Canis lupus familiaris: one gene and its partners. The protein of the gene in region 2 purifies or fractionates together with the protein of the main gene of each other region. This does not show direct contact. Links are inferred from orthologs where the notes say so. Each region holds a gene or a part of one and is shown on either strand. Other genes may lie near its edges.

What was found.
Region 1: the proteins of PARD3 (region 2) and PARD6B purify together in Homo sapiens (affinity purification with mass spectrometry; 5 studies listed by BioGRID and IntAct, counting the BioPlex papers as one, with this or other methods). This does not show direct contact. The link is inferred for Canis lupus familiaris from reciprocal best matches to the Homo sapiens genes PARD3 and PARD6B.
Region 3: the proteins of PARD3 (region 2) and PRKCI purify together in Homo sapiens (affinity purification with western blotting; 5 studies listed by BioGRID and IntAct, with this or other methods). This does not show direct contact. The link is inferred for Canis lupus familiaris from reciprocal best matches to the Homo sapiens genes PARD3 and PRKCI.

What each region holds. Positions count from the first base shown.
Region 1 is NC_049245.1:37,728,292-37,733,955, forward strand, and holds the start of PARD6B (partitioning defective 6 homolog beta), read left to right. Parts: upstream 1-2,188; 5' UTR 2,189-2,250; coding exon 2,251-2,316; intron 2,317-5,664. UniProt on the Homo sapiens protein: Adapter protein involved in asymmetrical cell division and cell polarization processes. Probably involved in formation of epithelial tight junctions.
Region 2 is NC_049223.1:2,750,991-2,756,207, reverse strand, and holds part of PARD3 (partitioning defective 3 homolog), read right to left. Parts: intron 1,502-5,217; coding exon 1,376-1,501; intron 274-1,375; coding exon 1-273. UniProt on the Homo sapiens protein: Adapter protein involved in asymmetrical cell division and cell polarization processes. Seems to play a central role in the formation of epithelial tight junctions. Targets the phosphatase PTEN to cell junctions.
Region 3 is NC_049255.1:35,022,701-35,028,483, forward strand, and holds the start of PRKCI (protein kinase C iota type), read left to right. Parts: upstream 1-2,307; coding exon 2,308-2,408; intron 2,409-2,566; exon of another isoform or gene 2,567-2,852; intron 2,853-5,783.

The DNA.
Region 1 (5,664 bases), on a different chromosome or scaffold from region 2:
ACTCCTGGACTGTGTGTTGTGTGTTCTTGTGTTTAAACATCCTCAGTTTTAATTCTCATATAATGAATATTAAAAAGACATAACATACACAAACAATACTTGGGGGCCCTCCATAATCTTTAAGGGTATTGAGGGGTCTGGAGATCAAACTGTGAAGCTGCCCCATCACAACACCACAATTCGTGTCCAGCACAGCTTGAGTCACATATCAGCAGGTGCTTTTGAACAGGGGGCGGAAGGCCACAGCCTTATTCAGTTTGAGATGGAATCCTTTTTTTTTTTTTTAAGATTTTATTTATTTATTCATGATAGAGGCAGAGACACAGGCAGAGGGAGAAGCAGGCTCCATGCAGGGAGTCTGACGTGGGACTCGATCCTGGGACTCCAGGATCATGCCGTTGGCCAAAGGCAGGTGCTTAAACCGCTGAGCCACCCAGGCTGCCCGAGATGGAATCCTTTTCATCTGTACTTCCACTCAAAATGGCCAGGAAAGACCTGAAATTCCCCAATAAACACTTGGTGAATTGAAAAGCTCCAGGGGGAAAGATGGGCTTCTCACCTTTGAGCCCAGGTGGGGCAAAGTTAGCACGGAAAAACCACACTCCCTGGGCACCAGCGCCCAGCAAAGCCATTATCCGAGTACCTGCCCGGAGTCAGGTACCATGCCACCTGCTCAACAGCGAGATGATGTGGTCCTGACTCCTCGGCGCTTTCATTCTAGGGCAGAGGCAGAGGAGTCCAAGAACATGAAAAAACGGAAGCTTGTCACCCACATGCTGGGAAGGATGTACGAGGAGTCAGGAGGGGTTTGAAGTAGGCAGATGAGCGCAAGGCCCCAGGACTGCGGTGGAATGAACCGCCCCCACCCCCAGGTCAGGCCGGCCCCTCTGCAGGTGGGGGGGGGGGGGCACTGGAGGGTCTCCTCCTCACTTCCCTGGCGCGGCCAGTACTGTTTTAAACAGCCTCCCTGCGAGAAGGAACCGCGCTCTGGGGCATTTAAAACAGAGGGTTGTCTTTTATCAAGGACGGAGTTCTATCGCCCCACGGAGAAAAGAACATTGTCCAGAGGCTGCCGTTGGTGGAAACAGCAAACGGCGAAGAAACGGCTGGAGGAGGGAGAAGACTTCGCGAGCAGAGCCTAACGCAAGCCCTGGGAGGCCGATCCGAAGTCCTGCGCGCGGCCATGCACCCTGGGCCTCCGCCCACTTCCCCTCCCTCGCGGCGCCCTCTCGACCCCCTGGGACCCGCGGACGAAACCGAGCCCGCGGAGCCCCGATGCTCTCCCCCAGTAACTGTTGCAGAGGCGGGAGAACTTTTATTCCGTAGCCAGAGTTGCAGACGGACTCCCGAAGCACCCAGCCGGGCGGTGGAGGGGAGCCTCTGCAACTGCAGCCCCCAAAGCGGACTGCGGCGGGGGCGGGCGCGAAGCCAGCGGCACCTCCGCGCCCCGGGGCCCCGCGGGGCAGCGCGGTCCCACCCCCAGCCCGGCGCGCCCTCGCCCGACCCGGCCCTCGGGCGCGCGCCTGCGCCTGCGCTTGCGCAAAACGCCCCCGCCCCAGCGCCTCTCCAGGTGCGCTCGCGCTTCCGGCCGGCCTTCCCGAGGCGGAAACACCAGAGCCCGCGCATGCGCCTTCCAGCTCTCCTGCTAGGTCCGGGGAGGGGGGCCCAAGGCTTCAGGTGATCCCGCCCCTCCCTCGCAGCGCGGGACCAATCGCGAGGCGGTAGGCGGGATTTTCGCGGAGGCGGCCCGCCCACACGCTCGCGAGGCGGGTTTCGATTGGCTGGCGGCGCGGGCGCAGGTGCGCGCTTCCTATTGGGTGTGGGCGGAGCGCGAGCCGCCGAGGCTTCTGCCGAGGCTGCAGGTGAGCGCGCGCGCGCCGCGGCTCCCTCCCGGGCTCGGGTGCGCGCGCGCGGGCCGGCGGGGGAGGCGGCCGGGAGCGAGCTCGCGGCGCCCGTCGCCTGTGCTCCGCCCCCTCCGCCGTCGCGGCCGCCGCCGAGGCCCGGAGGGAGGGAGTCGCGTCCCCGCCCGCCGCGCAGCCAGTCGGACCCTCGGTGCCGCCGCGAGCAGCCGGCCGAGCGGAGCTCCGCGCCCAGAAGCCGAGTCGCGGCCGCCGCTCTGCAGGTGCCGGTGCGGAGGCGCCCGGGCCGCAGCCGCGTCCCCGGCCCCGGCCCCGTCCCGCCGGCCGCGACTCCCCGCGCTCCCGAGGGGCGGCCCGGCCGCAGGAGGCCGCCGCGGGGCCCGGCCTCAGCATGAACCGCAGCCACCGGCACGGGGCGGGCAGCGGCTGCCTGGGCACCATGGAGGTGAAGAGCAAGGTGCGCGGGCCCGGGGCCGGCGGGGGCGGGGGCGGGGGGCCGGGGCTGCCCGCTGGCTGCGGCCGCGGGGCGTGCGGGGCTGCCCGGTGCACTCGCCGAGAAGCGGGCGAGGGTGGGGCCTTGCGTTTGCTCCCGGCCCAGGTGGGAAGGCCCGCGGAGCCCTTGCCCTCCTGGGGTCTCAGCCCGGGGCGGGGATGGCAGGCGTCTGAGCGCAGTGTGGGCGAAGGCTTGGGGACGTTGTAGCTCCCGGCCTGTGAGTAGCAGGTATTGGAAACACGCGCGGTCACAAAATGTTACCCCTTCCCGTGGTCCAGGGGTGCATCGAGCGGTGAGACGGCGAGCCCAGGGCCCTGAAGAGCCCTTTGAAAGTTGGCTTTGCTTCCTGCTAGGGATTTTTCCAGCACTCCCTTTGGTATGCGTCCTATTTATAAGAATTAACACTATCACCTTTCGTTTGAGTAGCCCTTTACAGTTTGAGGCTGGATGCTCTCTTCATTCCATCGTGCTGCCTTTTCACATCAAGTGTTTTCCTTCCTGACCGACGGTATGCCAGCCTGCTGAAAATTCCGTCCATATCCACTGAATTCCTAAATTGCAAGGCTCCCCGAGCAGGGGAGTCTGTAGGGATTAGTTAGAGAATGCTTTCCAAAGGGGGTTTCGAGCTGGAATTTGAAGGTGATCGGCAACCACAGCAGCATTTTCAGCAAGCATTTTGTGAGTTGAAGAGCCAAAGGAGCTCAGATAATCTAGTTTGATTCTCTTGAGAAAACGGAGGGGTCAGAAAGGTTATGACTTCGCCAGGCTCTGCTTTTATGACAAAACCTGGAAGGCTTTTTACAGATAACTTCTAGACTCTGTAGAACAAACGTGTTTTTGAGAACATTAAAAACAGTTAACAAAACCAAGACACAAGAATGGGAGAACAGTACGAGCAGATCAGCTTCAAAAATAACGAAACACCATTGAGTGTAAGACTACAGAGGGCAAATCCAAAATCAGGGAGTGGTTTTGAGTGAAGTGGAGTAAGAAAAGCTCCCCGGAGCCTGGGGGTGGAATGGTTTTATCTAGAGCTGATAAGCAAAGTTCTGTGAGTTGCTGGGAACTGAGATCTTCACATCAAGAGTATCTACATTCATTTTAAACATCGTTTGAAAATGTTATTTGTGACCTCTGGAGCAGGATAGGCAAGTGGGTTCACAGAAACCGTTCTGCTTAATAAGAATAGAAATGTAATTATAGCAATTTAAGGACTGTGTTTTTTCTTTCCTGTGCCCTGCACAGAATCACTAGAGCAAATTGAAGGGACATGGCTTGAGCTAAGGGTTAAGATGACTCCAAATATACAGGATTTTTCCTCGAGCGGTATAGCAGCGGTAGTGGTTCTGTGCCCACTGGTTGAACTTTCTCAGGCATTTCTGCCATAAATCTAGTTTGCGTCTGTGGGGGTTGAGGTTAAGAAAAGAAAAACACTTATGATATTGCATAATCTTAAAATTCAGTTTGTGGTCCTAATCTTGGTAACAAGTCTTGAACTTTTTATCGTAGGAAAAAAATGAGTAGAGAGTCTAGGTGCACCGATAAATACAATCAAATGGTAATTTATCTCCTGGACTAGAAACCTGGAGCACTTTTGGGACTGGAATTTCAGGCTTTCTGCCCTTTCTCTTCTCTCAACTGACCTGTGAATCTTTCCCACACTTACATCTGTACTACACGTTGTATATTTGAGCTGCCATGCTGCACTCGTAGTGAACCATGTCTCTTAAATAGAATCGAGGCATTCTGAGGACCTGCACCAAATGAGGTGTGGTTCCTCTTGTTGTTCTAGATCTTGCTGAATAGACACAATATTAGGTACTGTTTTTAGCATCTGTGACACTGTTTTAAATAGATATTGTTGAGACATTTATTTTTAGTGGATTAAATGAAACACTTGTCATCTTTATCATTTAAAAAGTATTTAGACAGATGTTTGAAACAATATTTCTCTTTGTCCCTGCCTTGGTGATATCACAGCTTTTTTCAAAACTGATTGTCGGGAAGTTGTAACCACAGCCAGGTAACGTGCAGATCCACATTTCAAGATCTCTTTTTCTTCTGCATAGAAAACAGTGTCAACTGTATCATCTGAGCAGAGCTGGGGAAGTTCTTAATAATGAAGGTGATATCCCTCAGTAACCTTGGAACAGTCTTTGGGCCGTACATTTTCTACTTATTATTCATGGGCAAACAGCATTAAAATTAACTTTGCATTTCTCGAATGTACCAACAGATGCTGGGAGAAGGCCACATCCTGGGTGGCCAGGACAAACTAGATTGGCCTAAAGAGTTATAAATGGTTCATGTAGTGAAAAGTTGTTGACTCGGTCTTAATTTTATGTCTGTCTTAGTATTTTTCTTCATGTAGTAAAACGTTCTCTTAATCCTATTGTTTCTCTGCAAGAAGCATAACAGTTTCTCTTGTTTGGTTTTGTTTTCTGCTAACATTTGCAAAAGGGCACATCTGCTATGAAGCCATACAGTTTTTCATTGTTTTTATCATAACCTATAAGGAAGAGAAATACATGTTGAGCAAAGGATTTTCACCCAAAAGCTTTAACAAAGACGCTGGAGCCCTGCGATGTTCAATTGTTAGATGTTAACTTTCATTCACGTACCTGGAGAAGTGATAAACCCTGGCATGAATCAGAAAGCACTAGGAGCTTTGCATTGTGATACCAGAATAAAGAACATGGAGGAGAAACTGACTTTTGATAACATCATAAGACTAGCTCTGATATGAAGGGTGTTGCCGAGTTTTTATTTACTTTGAAACATGAAGGTGTGACTAAACTTTTTGAGAGTTTTAGGTATGAGTCACCTTGTGTTCTTGACAAATGTTGATGTTTATTTTCAGGAATGTGTTTTGGAAACTTTTATTTATTAGAAGTAAGAGGTTTTAGCGAGGTTTTAATTTAATACTAATGAGTAGTATTAGTACTGATGAACTTCTTCAGTGTAACAGATACAGTGACTCCAGCTATGTCATAGGTCCTAGTGAAGATGAATTAACACATTTGTAACCTGCTCAAATTATCCTGACGGGGACTTTCTCTGCATGATGCTTAAGGCTGTGTTAGTACTACATTACATTAGGATACATTAGTATTTCTTGTTAATAGTAGGTTTTTTTTTTTTAATTTTTATTTATTTATGATAGTCACATAGAGAGAGAGAGAGGCAGAGACATAAGCAGAGGGAGAAGCAGGCTCCATGCACCAGGAGCCTGACGTGGGATTCGATCCCGGGTCTCCAGGATCGCGCCCTGGGCCAAAGGCAGGCGCCAAACCGCTGCGCCACCCAGGGATC
Region 2 (5,217 bases):
CCGGAGGGGTGTGTGCTCTGAGGTAGTAGGCGGGGGTGCGAGTCTATGTGCTCGGGTGGGTGGTTCAATCTGGGTGCTCTGGGCAGCGCCTGAAGTCCAGCACTAGTCACACCCCTGTTATCCATATACTGGCTGTCCGGACTGAAGTGGCTTGAATAGTAATTGTTCTTCTCACTTTGGGAGAGTTGTTCGTACTGCTCTTTATTTGCTGCAGGAACCACATGGAACCAAATGATGGGTGTACGCATGGCTTGGCGAAACATATGTTGTGCTCTGGGTTTGAGAAAGAATGGAAAATTAGCAAATTAAGACTGGCAGACTAGAAGATATTATGAGCTTAATTAAGTATACTAATTAAGCAACAAGAACTGCCAGACTTTGTTGAAACGGAAAAACAAAATCCTGATATCCCATTTATCAATCAAGTTTGCAAGCTCTGATAGAAGCATAGCTGTTTTCTCCAAATATAAATTTTTTATTCTCTTAATAAAAATGAGAAAATTATCTATAACTACAGATAAAATACCGGGTACTCAATCACAAATTATTAAATAGTTTTAAGCACAATAGAGGTATTATAATTGCAATAGGAACAGAAATTAAATACAATCTTGTCTCTACAACATTATCCAATACATTTAAAACTTACATTTTGTTACATGGAACCACTTGAGTTTTTGAAGAAATAAATATATGTAGAAAACTATAGAAATCAACTATCCATTATCAGCAAAATTAACACAAGTGTATGCAAAATTCTTAAGAAAACCAGTGTGGCCTCAGTGACTTAAAATGTGAAGAGTTTTGGTCCTGGTGCTAGTCCACGACCAGCCTGAGCAACTGCTCCAGCTCACGCTCATTCATGACTCAGATCTCACACACGAAATCCTTATGATTTCTGCTCACTTTTGTCCTATTTTAGAGGAACTGGACAACTTTTATCTTTTTAATTGAGTAATGACTTAAATCAGGATAAAGAAAATTGGGTGGACCACACTGTAGTTCAAAGGAGCTTTCTCTGCTTATTTATAAGATGAATCATTACATGCAACAAAGTCGGGAACGTGAGTTAAAATATAATAAAGCCCAGCACGCTGGCAAATTTTCTGAAAGGTGAGGAAGTAGCAAAATTGTGAAGTATAAATTGGGCCCATAATATTTTAAGAAGCGCTCTGTCAGTCAGAGGGCATTTTGAAATATAGTCTAATGGTAGTAATTACCTGTAGTTTGATTAAATTTTTAAAAGCTAGATAATGACAGAAAATACTCCTCTCTAGTATAAAGACAGAGACATGTTGTTTGAAGCATTTCAATGGACTACACTCTCTCATGCCTCGAGCATGAAAGAACAGCAGTGCAGCCAGCACACACTTACTGTTCAAATCTTCTATTTCGAAGGTCGCCATCATTAATCCTGACAATGCAATCATTTTCATGAAAAAGGTTTTCTTGTTCAGCTTTACCACCTTTCTCCAATCGTTTTACTAATAACCCCAGGGTTCTGGAACATTAAGAATGCAAATCATTACACATGTAATATTTCTACTACCATGCACAATGCCCTACTGCTTTAATGCTGGTATTATATTTACAAAGACTTCCTGATAAAGGAGTACATTAAATCGTTATTAATACACTTGAAAATAACACCAACACAAAAAGCACAACCATATAAATGAAGTGCAGAAATGGATCCTTTCAATAAATGTAATAAATTGTTTCTGGTTGTCAGGATTATGTTTCTGAAACAAACTATGCTTAGAAATGCTTCAAACAGAGCTTGCCTGATGGTTCACTAGATATCGCAGTGTGGAGCATAGAAGACCATGCACTTGTGGATAGCTCTGGCAGTTTTCTGTTTTAAGCCGGCTGGTTCACCGTGCACGCGCAGGTGATCAAAGAAAGGTTAACCTCAGTGCATTGTACATTTGCAAAGAAAAAGAGGAAAGTTTTGATTCTTGGCATCTGAATTTGATGGTGCCTAAGCGTCTCAAATTTCAAAACTTGTTAGGTCTCCCAAAAGTGAAAAATTTGTTGCCATTATTCCCATTTAGAGACAAATAAGAGAAAGCCAGTGACAGGTTCGAATGTCAATGGTTCAAACCTCATCAATGTGTGCTAAAACTGCAGGTTGAAAGAAAAGCCTGAATGAACTGTTAGAGACCAATAAGGAGATAAAAAAGCAAAAATTAGTAGGGTACTTGGTCTAGAGTACTAATATCTTGACTGACAGAAAGAATATTCTAGATACCCTGACAAGTGGCAAACATTATCTGACCACAGTACAAAGAACAGGAATCTTTACCTAGTTCTGGTGCTGTGACTGACTTGATGGCTAGCATAAATTCTGTATGATGATCACATTAAAAATTTTTATGAACCTATCTTGGGCCTGTCCAAAGCTTAGATTTTCTTTCATAATCTCCATATTTAGAGATAATATCCATATAGATACTCAAATTTAGAATCCTGCCAAAATTAAAGTTGGTATTTCCAATAGTTCAGATATAGATAATATATCTTCCAACAGAATACAATTTGCCATGCCCTATATAGGCTTTCCAGGAAAAAGATACCCATATAGACAGCTTCCTCTTTTAAACGTTTACAGTAATTCTTATCTGTCCTGTGGCCATTTATCTCTGTAATTCTCTGTAATTGTTACTTATATACACATCTTATCTCTACTAGTGCATTGTAAGCTCCTGCAAGATGGAGAAGATGGGAATCAGCAACGCAGGCTCAAGCACCTAAATAGTAGCAAGGTCTTGACAAATGAAAACCACAAGAGTTTAGCTCAGGCAAACAAGTCTCACGTTTCTAAGAAACTTTCTGCAAAGAAGAAAATGAGCCAAAAGAAATTTAGATTCAGATCCTTTTCTTCATGAAGATGTCATTTACACCAAATTATGATTGAACTGAAATAAACTTGAAAGCAAAAGGTCCTTTTTCACTGGTTATTTTGCAACTTCAACTTGTTTCCTTCATGAATATTTACAGAGTCATTCTTTAACTTCATTTTAATGTTTATTGTTAAGTACAGTACAGCATGTTTTATCCTAAGGTCAAGTCCACCAACTGGCAAAGGTCATCAGAGGAGGTAACATTTAAATCGCCTTTTGTAATTTCACCATTTGAGGATTAGTACCTACTAGTCTAAGAATCTAAAAGTCTTAGTGACTGATAAAAACATTATTACATATGTAATGTTTGGTTACTCACTACCATATATTGGAATTAAACAAATATAAAAATCCCCTCAGCTCAAAGGGAAGAACAAAGTATGAGCAACCTAATGGTCTGAGTCTTATTTGGAAGAAAGAGATCCCACAATACACACCAATAATTATTAAGTTACTGTTAAAATGTCATCTGTGCCCATGATCTGTCTCCTAACACTTCCCTGTTGTGTGTGTTTCTATGTGCAATTGACTAAGTGTTCTAAGAGAGGAATCGATTAAGATATATCCATGATTCTGTTGAATGAGACAAAATAATTTGAGACATCAAATTAAATCACAGTTCTTGACAGTATGAGAACTAGAAGACATTTGGCCACTTCACCCTCAAAGCAACCATATAAAAGAACAGCTTAAAGGAAAAGATGATTCAGCCACCCACAGACAATCACAACACAATCATACATGAGGCACCACACTTGTTGCTAAGGCTATCTCTACAGACCAAGAGCGCTTTGCAGGGTGCATGCATTTGGTGTGCAGTAAAAGTATGCCTTTCCAAGAGTCACTCCAGTTAAGTAATTAGTTCTAAATTGGTGAAATCATGAGCTATTTCTCAGTATGGTTACAAAATTTCTGCAATCTAAAGTGATGAATAATGATTACGCTTTTATGTATTCTGAAATATTTTATGTATTCTAAAATAGCCTATAGAATACTTTGATACATATATATTCTTATATACACACACACACATAAATATACACACATACATATACACACCTATACACAGAGAGGGAGAGACAAGAGACAGACTGTGTTTAATGAAAATTACTCAGCAGTTAACTAGTACTGATCATTTGTTTAAATTTACAAATTTACCCCAGATAGCTCCTTTCAGTATTTAACACAGTTTAAAATAACACAACTTGGAAATACATAATTTAATTCTACAAGTAGCACCAATATTTCTCAGATGAGTAGGTCTATGGATTTATATTCATCTAGATAATCATTTTTCTTTTACAATCTACTCCCTCCCTCCCCCAGGAATCATTCTAGAATAATAATTCACAGTAAAAAAAAAAAAAAAAAAAAAAAAGCATGGCATGCTTCATTTATTCAATGGCCTGTCTTTCCAAATAAGTCCTCATATATGGCCTAATTCATCAGTAATCCTAATATGCAGTGAAAAATACAAATCAAAAATAAATACACCATCACATTCATATGGAACATAAACAGTTTATTAAATGAGGCTTTTAGAATCCAAAGTTGTTAAAATAGCAGCAAAATCTTAGACTCTTCTTTCTCAGTGCTGGAGACTAGAAAACCCACTGGGGAAGGGAGGGTAGGGAGGAAGAATTTTATCCTAAGTAACACAGCAAGTGATCAGGGAATCAACGGAACAGACTGAATTAAGGAGAAGTTAGTAGCCTGCTGATTTCTAAATACTTGACCACACTATTAGAATCATTCTCTCAAAAAAGAATGGATTAATTTAAAAGTAAAGTGGTACAATCTGCAAAATTATCTCATTTGCTTCACTAGGTGAAAATGATTACAAAAAGAATGGGAAGGAACTATCAAAAAAACTTCACAAGAGAATTGAACTGATAACAGAACAGCGAGCCTGAGAATGAAAAGTACCCTCTGAAGGGAAATCAACAGGAAGTTGTAACACTTTCATCTTCCTGAAAAACGTGAATGCAAGCACATAGATCTCCATGCCTCCCACATTCAATTTAAAGCCATCTCCACCAGTATAATTAAAAATAATTTTTAGGTATGTTTTTTGCAAATTCAACCAGCACCTAGTATTTGTTCTAGAGTAATAAAGAACTATGGCATTGTGGTCCCCGTAACACTTATTAGAGACATAAATGAAGTTAATGAAGTCCCAGACATTTTGGCATGTCCATATGCTGGGATAGAGAATAGTTTTTCCTCTAGGCAGTTAGTACTGAAATTCCTTATCAGGGACAACCATTTTCCATAAGAAGAAGTCACTCTGCAAAAAATAGGAAGAGGAGGAGAG
Region 3 (5,783 bases), on a different chromosome or scaffold from region 2:
AAACACCATTAGAACTAATAAATGAGTTCAGCAAGCCTGTAGGATACAAGGTATATGCAAAATTAATTTTCTCTACACCACCAATGAATAATCAAAAACTGAAATTAGGGGCGGCCCCGGTTGCGCAGCGGTTTAGCCCCGCTTGCAGTCCGGGGTGTGATCCTGGAGACCTGGGATCGAGTCCCATATCGGGCTTCCTGCAGGGAGTCTGCTTCTCCCTCTGCCTGTGTCTCTGCCTCTCTCTTCGCGCTCTCTCTGAATGAATAAATAAATAAATCTTTAAAAAAAAAAACTGAAATTAGGATGGGAATGTAAATTAACACAGCCACTATGGAAAACAGAATGGAAGTTCCCAACAAAATTAGAAAAAGAACTATGATAACATGCAGCAATCTCAGTTCTGATTATTTAGCCAAAGAAAACAAAAACACTACCTTGAAAAGATATCTGCACCCCCATGAAGCATCATTTACAATAGCCAAGACATGGAAACACATATTTACTATTTATAGATTCTTACTGATGACAAATTTAATATAGGCAATAAGCCTCCTGTGAAAATGAGGCCAATGAAGGATTTTTCAAACCGCTAAGAAATAAGGACCCAGAAGAAACAGGTGTTCACACCTTACCTTTCTTCAGTCTAACGCTCTCCCAACTGAGCTATCTCGGCCGCTTCGCCTTACCGTTCTAAATTCCCATTTCCCATACAATGCAAATTTCCTTTCCAATAGCATTATATAATCTTTCAAATTTGTCACAAGCATACTACATTTTCTATGAATCCAATTAAAACTTCACAATCTCACTTCAGAAATAGTTTATATTCCACAGCTAATTGATTCATATTTAACATGTGGATGTAAGTCCCGAGTTCTCAAAACTCTGATACCAAGGTCTTTCAACAGTTTTTATTAGGAGTCTATAATCCACGTTTGTAGCAGTTAAAGGACATCACCGCAGACGAAGTGTCAGACATAACTCTGATGAGTCAATCCTCCAGCCCTATTTTATCACAGTAAAGCAGGTTATAGTCTTGATTATTTCAACCTTTTTTAGCATGTGCTGGTGCCAGGACCAAAGCCGGAGCTGGATTCATTGCTCCTTGTAGTTGCACTATGTGCCAGAGCCAAGATCAATGGAAGATCAGAGACTAAGCTACAAAGACGGATCCTTTATACTGTCATCTTTGGCTAGCCAGTGATAGAAAAGAATAGAAAAAAAAAAATAGTGCTGATGGATGGCTCGGATAACCACTGTGCACCTGTGCCAGGCGATGGCGATATACCAGGGCCAAGGTGCGGTGGGGGGGGGGGGGGGGGGCTGCAAAGGAGGCAATGCCGGTCTTCCACACCTTCTAGCTGAGTTTCCTCCTTTACTACATTTGTTACATATGTTATTAAAGTCTTTCCATAAAAGAGCGTGTGCCCAGCCGGTTGACCAGCGTCTCGTCCTCCAAAAAAGGCACCGTGCACTGGAGCTGGTGCATGCAGCTGGAAGGGGGACTGCATCGGGGAACCCACTGTAGAGATGGGGACGAAGCCCAACCGCTCGCCGCGACCTCAGGTGCCCACGCTGCAGCCGGGGTTCCAGGCGGGCGAGCCCCTGGCCGAGGCTGCGGGGGGCGCGCACGCGGGGCTCGGACTCGGGCGGCTGCGCGGGGGAGGCCGGGTTCCGACGCCGAGAGCCTCCAGGCCCGGCCTCCCACCGGGACTGCAAATCCCAGAAACCCGGCCCAGCCCCGCTCGGGCCGGCGGCGGGCGGGACCAAGTCAGGCCGCGGGGTGAGATGCCGCAGCCCGGGCCCCCGCCCGTGTCCCCCGTGGGGAGGGCGCCCTTCGCGGACAGCTCTGGCCTTCCCTCAGTCGCGGGGGCCGCGGAGGCCCCTCCCCGGCCCACCGATGTGCCACCCGGCGCCGCCATCCTCCCGCCCCCCTCTCCGCGGCCCCCGTGAGGATGGTTCGGCCCGGCGTCGAGGCTCCTGGAGATGCTCGGATGGTCGCGCCCGCCCTCCCCCGGAATGTGCGCCTTTGGAGCGGGCGAGGTGGGAGGGCCCGGAGGGGAGGCGTGCTGGGCCCGGCGGGAGGAGCCGCGCGGTTCCGGCTGCCCCGGCCAGGCGCCCCTCGGGTCGGGCGGACCGCGCAGGTGGCCGAGCGGGAGGCCGTGCGGGAGGCCGAGCGGGAGGCCGAGCGGGAGGCCGAGCGGGAGACTCTGCAGCGGAGCGCGCCCGCCCCCGCCCCCGCCGCCCCCGGCGCCCGGCGCGCCCCCCGCAGCCTCGGCCTCCGCGCTGGGGCGGGGGAGCAGGGAGATGCCGACCCAGAGGGACAGCAGTGCCATGTCTCACGCGATCGCGGGCGGCGGCAGCGGGGACCATTCCCACCAGGTCCGGGTGAAAGCCTACTACCGCGGGTGAGTGTCCCGGGAGGCGGGGAGGGCAGCGCGGGGCGGGGGGCGCCGAGCGGTCGCGGGGTGGCGCTGGGGCGCCCGGGTGCAGCCGGGTCCGGCCCGGGTCCGGCGAGGGTCCCAGGGCGGAGCCTGGGCATGGAGAGGGTCCACCTGGTGGCTTCGAGACCCGCCGCCTGCCAAGAGGCGCGCGGGGGCTTTGCGCCCTTGAGCCCGAGTGCGTGTGGGGTTCAGGGCTGGTTCCGAGGGGCGCCTGGGCGAGCTAAGGTGGCCGCGGGCTGAAAAGCCAGGACTCCCGTAGTCCGCCGGCTCCGCCAGCAGCCCAAGGCCCGAAGCCTCGGCTGCTCCGGGGCCGCCCCACCTTCGCGGCGCAGAGGAGTCGGCGCGCTGCTCTGAGCCCGCCCGGCTGCCTGCCTGCCTCCCTCGGAGACGCGGAGTTACTGCTCACGGGTAAAGTTGCTGCCTTTTTAGGGCCGTGCATTAGGCACTCAGGTCTCGCCAAGAGCAGGTCGTATAGGTGCGAATTAAAAATTTGTGAACGCTCCTTTGTCAGTGTTGGCTCAGGGACCACTTACTGGACAGGGGGAGACGCTGCAAGGAGAGAGGGGGGCGAACCGAGGCGTGGTTTTAAAATCTGTGCTATGTACTCAGATTCCCCAACTTAGAGCTCCTGTGCTTACCAGGAGGGACCTAGTGCTAATACTGTTGTATCAGATCATACCCTGTAATCAGTGACCTGGAGTATCCCCCTTCCCTTGTTTTCAGTTGCGTTTTGAAATTTGAGATGATTACCTTTAGTAGCATTAGAAAGGTGAAATGGTCGTGTGAAGGCCAAGATTTGAGGCAAAGGGTTAACAGCAAAGCCAATGGCTTTGGCCTGTCTTACTGTTTGTCCAAGCAGAAGTAAATTGCTCAAAAAAAAAAAAAAAAAAAAGAAGAAAGAAAAAAAGAAAAAAAAAAAACCCTCAAGCACTAGGAGGTTGAGACTGCAGTGCATACTTGTACATTCCTGAGAGGATCAGTGAAGATAGCAAACTTTCAAAACACCTCTCTTGTTTTGATTTTAAAGGAAATAGGAGCCGTCAAACGTCTTATTGATTTGATGTAACCACTTAATCACTCGCTGCTGTGTAGCCGCTGACCTCTTGTTTGTTAGCCTATTCAGCATAGTTTACAAGAATTATTTTGGACAGTATCCGCGTTTTTGCTTAAATTGATCAAGGAGGTCTTCATTTTAAAAACAATACTAAGAAGTGTGTGTATGGTTTTTTTTTTTTTTAAGTTTGTAGTGGTCACAAGCGCAGTTTTGACATGAATATGGTCAATGAACTTTGCACTGTGGGGGAAAAAAGCTTTGCTTCCTTTACCTTACCTTTAATTAAGAGATTAATTCAGTTGCCATTTTATAAAATTGACAGTCCATGAGCTGTTAGGCAAAGAGAATGAAATATATAGTATGTGTTTTTTTTTTTAAGTGTTTCATTATTGACAGTTAAAAAAAACGGGATTAAAAATGAATATACTCACATGGTAGGAATGTGCAAATTGTACAGAGGTATAAGGTGAGTGTCTCTCGTGGCACCTGGGTGGCTCAGTGGTTGAGCTTCTGCCTTTTGCTCAGGACGTGACCCTGGGGTCCTGGGATGGAGTCCTGCATTAGACTCCCCGAAGGGAGCCTGCTTCTCCCTCTGCCTGTATCTCAGCCTCTCTCTGTGTCTCTCATGAATTGACAAATAAAATCTTAAAAAAAAAAAAAAAAAAGTGTCTTCCATCTCATCCTCCCCACTTCCAGAGGTAGACTGTTAACAGTTTATTTCTGTTCTTCTGGAGGTTTGCCTTTATTCTTTATTACCTTATTCTCTTTCATGATTCAACTTTAGGTGGTACCTATTGGTTCCTTCCACTGAAAGATGAGAAATTGGGTGAATGCTACCTTTTGCTTGTCCTTCTCCTGGTTGGTGCTTTTCAATTTTTGATTCTTAAGCTATTATTTTCAGTTCTCTGGTCTGCATTTATGACTTTAAACAATGCAAATTCTTGGCTTATTAAATTTAAATAGTTTCCGATGACTTTAAATATGAAGAGGAAGGAATTAGGTTTCTTTCTCCTGTTTTTATTCGTTTGACAAATCTAAAAAGGCCTAGTTAGTAAATTAAAATCATTATAAACTTCTTTAGAAAGAAATAAAAATATATTTAAGGAATGTTAGGTGTCAAATTTTCTTGGCTTATTACTATAATTATTGTTATAAAAGAAAATAGAAGAGGGCATATACTTTTAGTGCCTGACTAAAATTTTTCTAAGACATTCTCAAGTTAACATTTTGTTTTTTAACATCTGTGAATTTTTGCTAAGGAATGAAAGAATCTAGCCCTTGACCTTTATTGCTTTTTATTCGTTGAAAGCTTTCTAATAGTGCCTTCATTTCAAGCCTCATTTAAAGACAACATCAGCACTCTCTAAATTGTTCCAATTTCTGTCCCCTGAAATTAGATGTTAAGATTATATGTTTATTAACAATAGTCTAAACTGGTGGTTTTGATATTACATAGTCAGCTGCTCATTACTACAGATGAAACTAAAATGAGTCACCAATGAGGATAGCTAATAAACAGGTTGGCTAACTAGAACACCTACCTCATTTTTAAATAGAAAAATCCTTTATATCAAGAAATGTAGGGTCAATCTGCATTTGAAAAAAGTTTTTCTTTCAGATCTTATGAAAGGCTGTTATCAGAAAGCCTTCTTACTCCCTTCTAACAGTATTTCTTTCCAGTGAACGTTGAATCTTGGAATAACCAGAATTTTTTAGCAAATAAATTGCGTTCCCTCTTTAAAGTTGTGTATGGTGTTCTCTCATTCAGTTAAATTTGTTCTTAGGGCAAATGTGTTGTCTCTCTAGATATAACAGACATTTAATTAGATTTTTTCTAGTTTTTAAGCAGGAGATTAATAGCATCGAGAATCCGACTGTATTGGGGGTGCTTGGGTGGTTCAGTTGATTAGTTGTCAGACTCTTGATTTTGGCTCAGGTCATGATCTTGGGATGGTGAGATTGGGCCTAGCCTGGGGCTCCATGCTCAGAGGGGAGTCTGCTTGAGTTTTTTTCTCCCTGTCCCTCTGCCCCTCCCCCAGTACACACATGAGCTTTCTTTCTCTAAAAGAAATCTTAAAAAAAAAAAAAAAAAAAAAGAATCTGACTGTATTGGAGACCACCTAAGAGTGCCTGTGTCATGTCCTATATACCCTTCTTTCCTTAACATGGGAGCTTGTCAGTGAGTGGCCTTCCCTCTTCAATCATTACCTAGTAGTGTTAGGAGGAAGAGAAACAGGTTTTGTTGGTTAGTGATAAATTGCTATTGTAGGTGCTTATCCTTATAT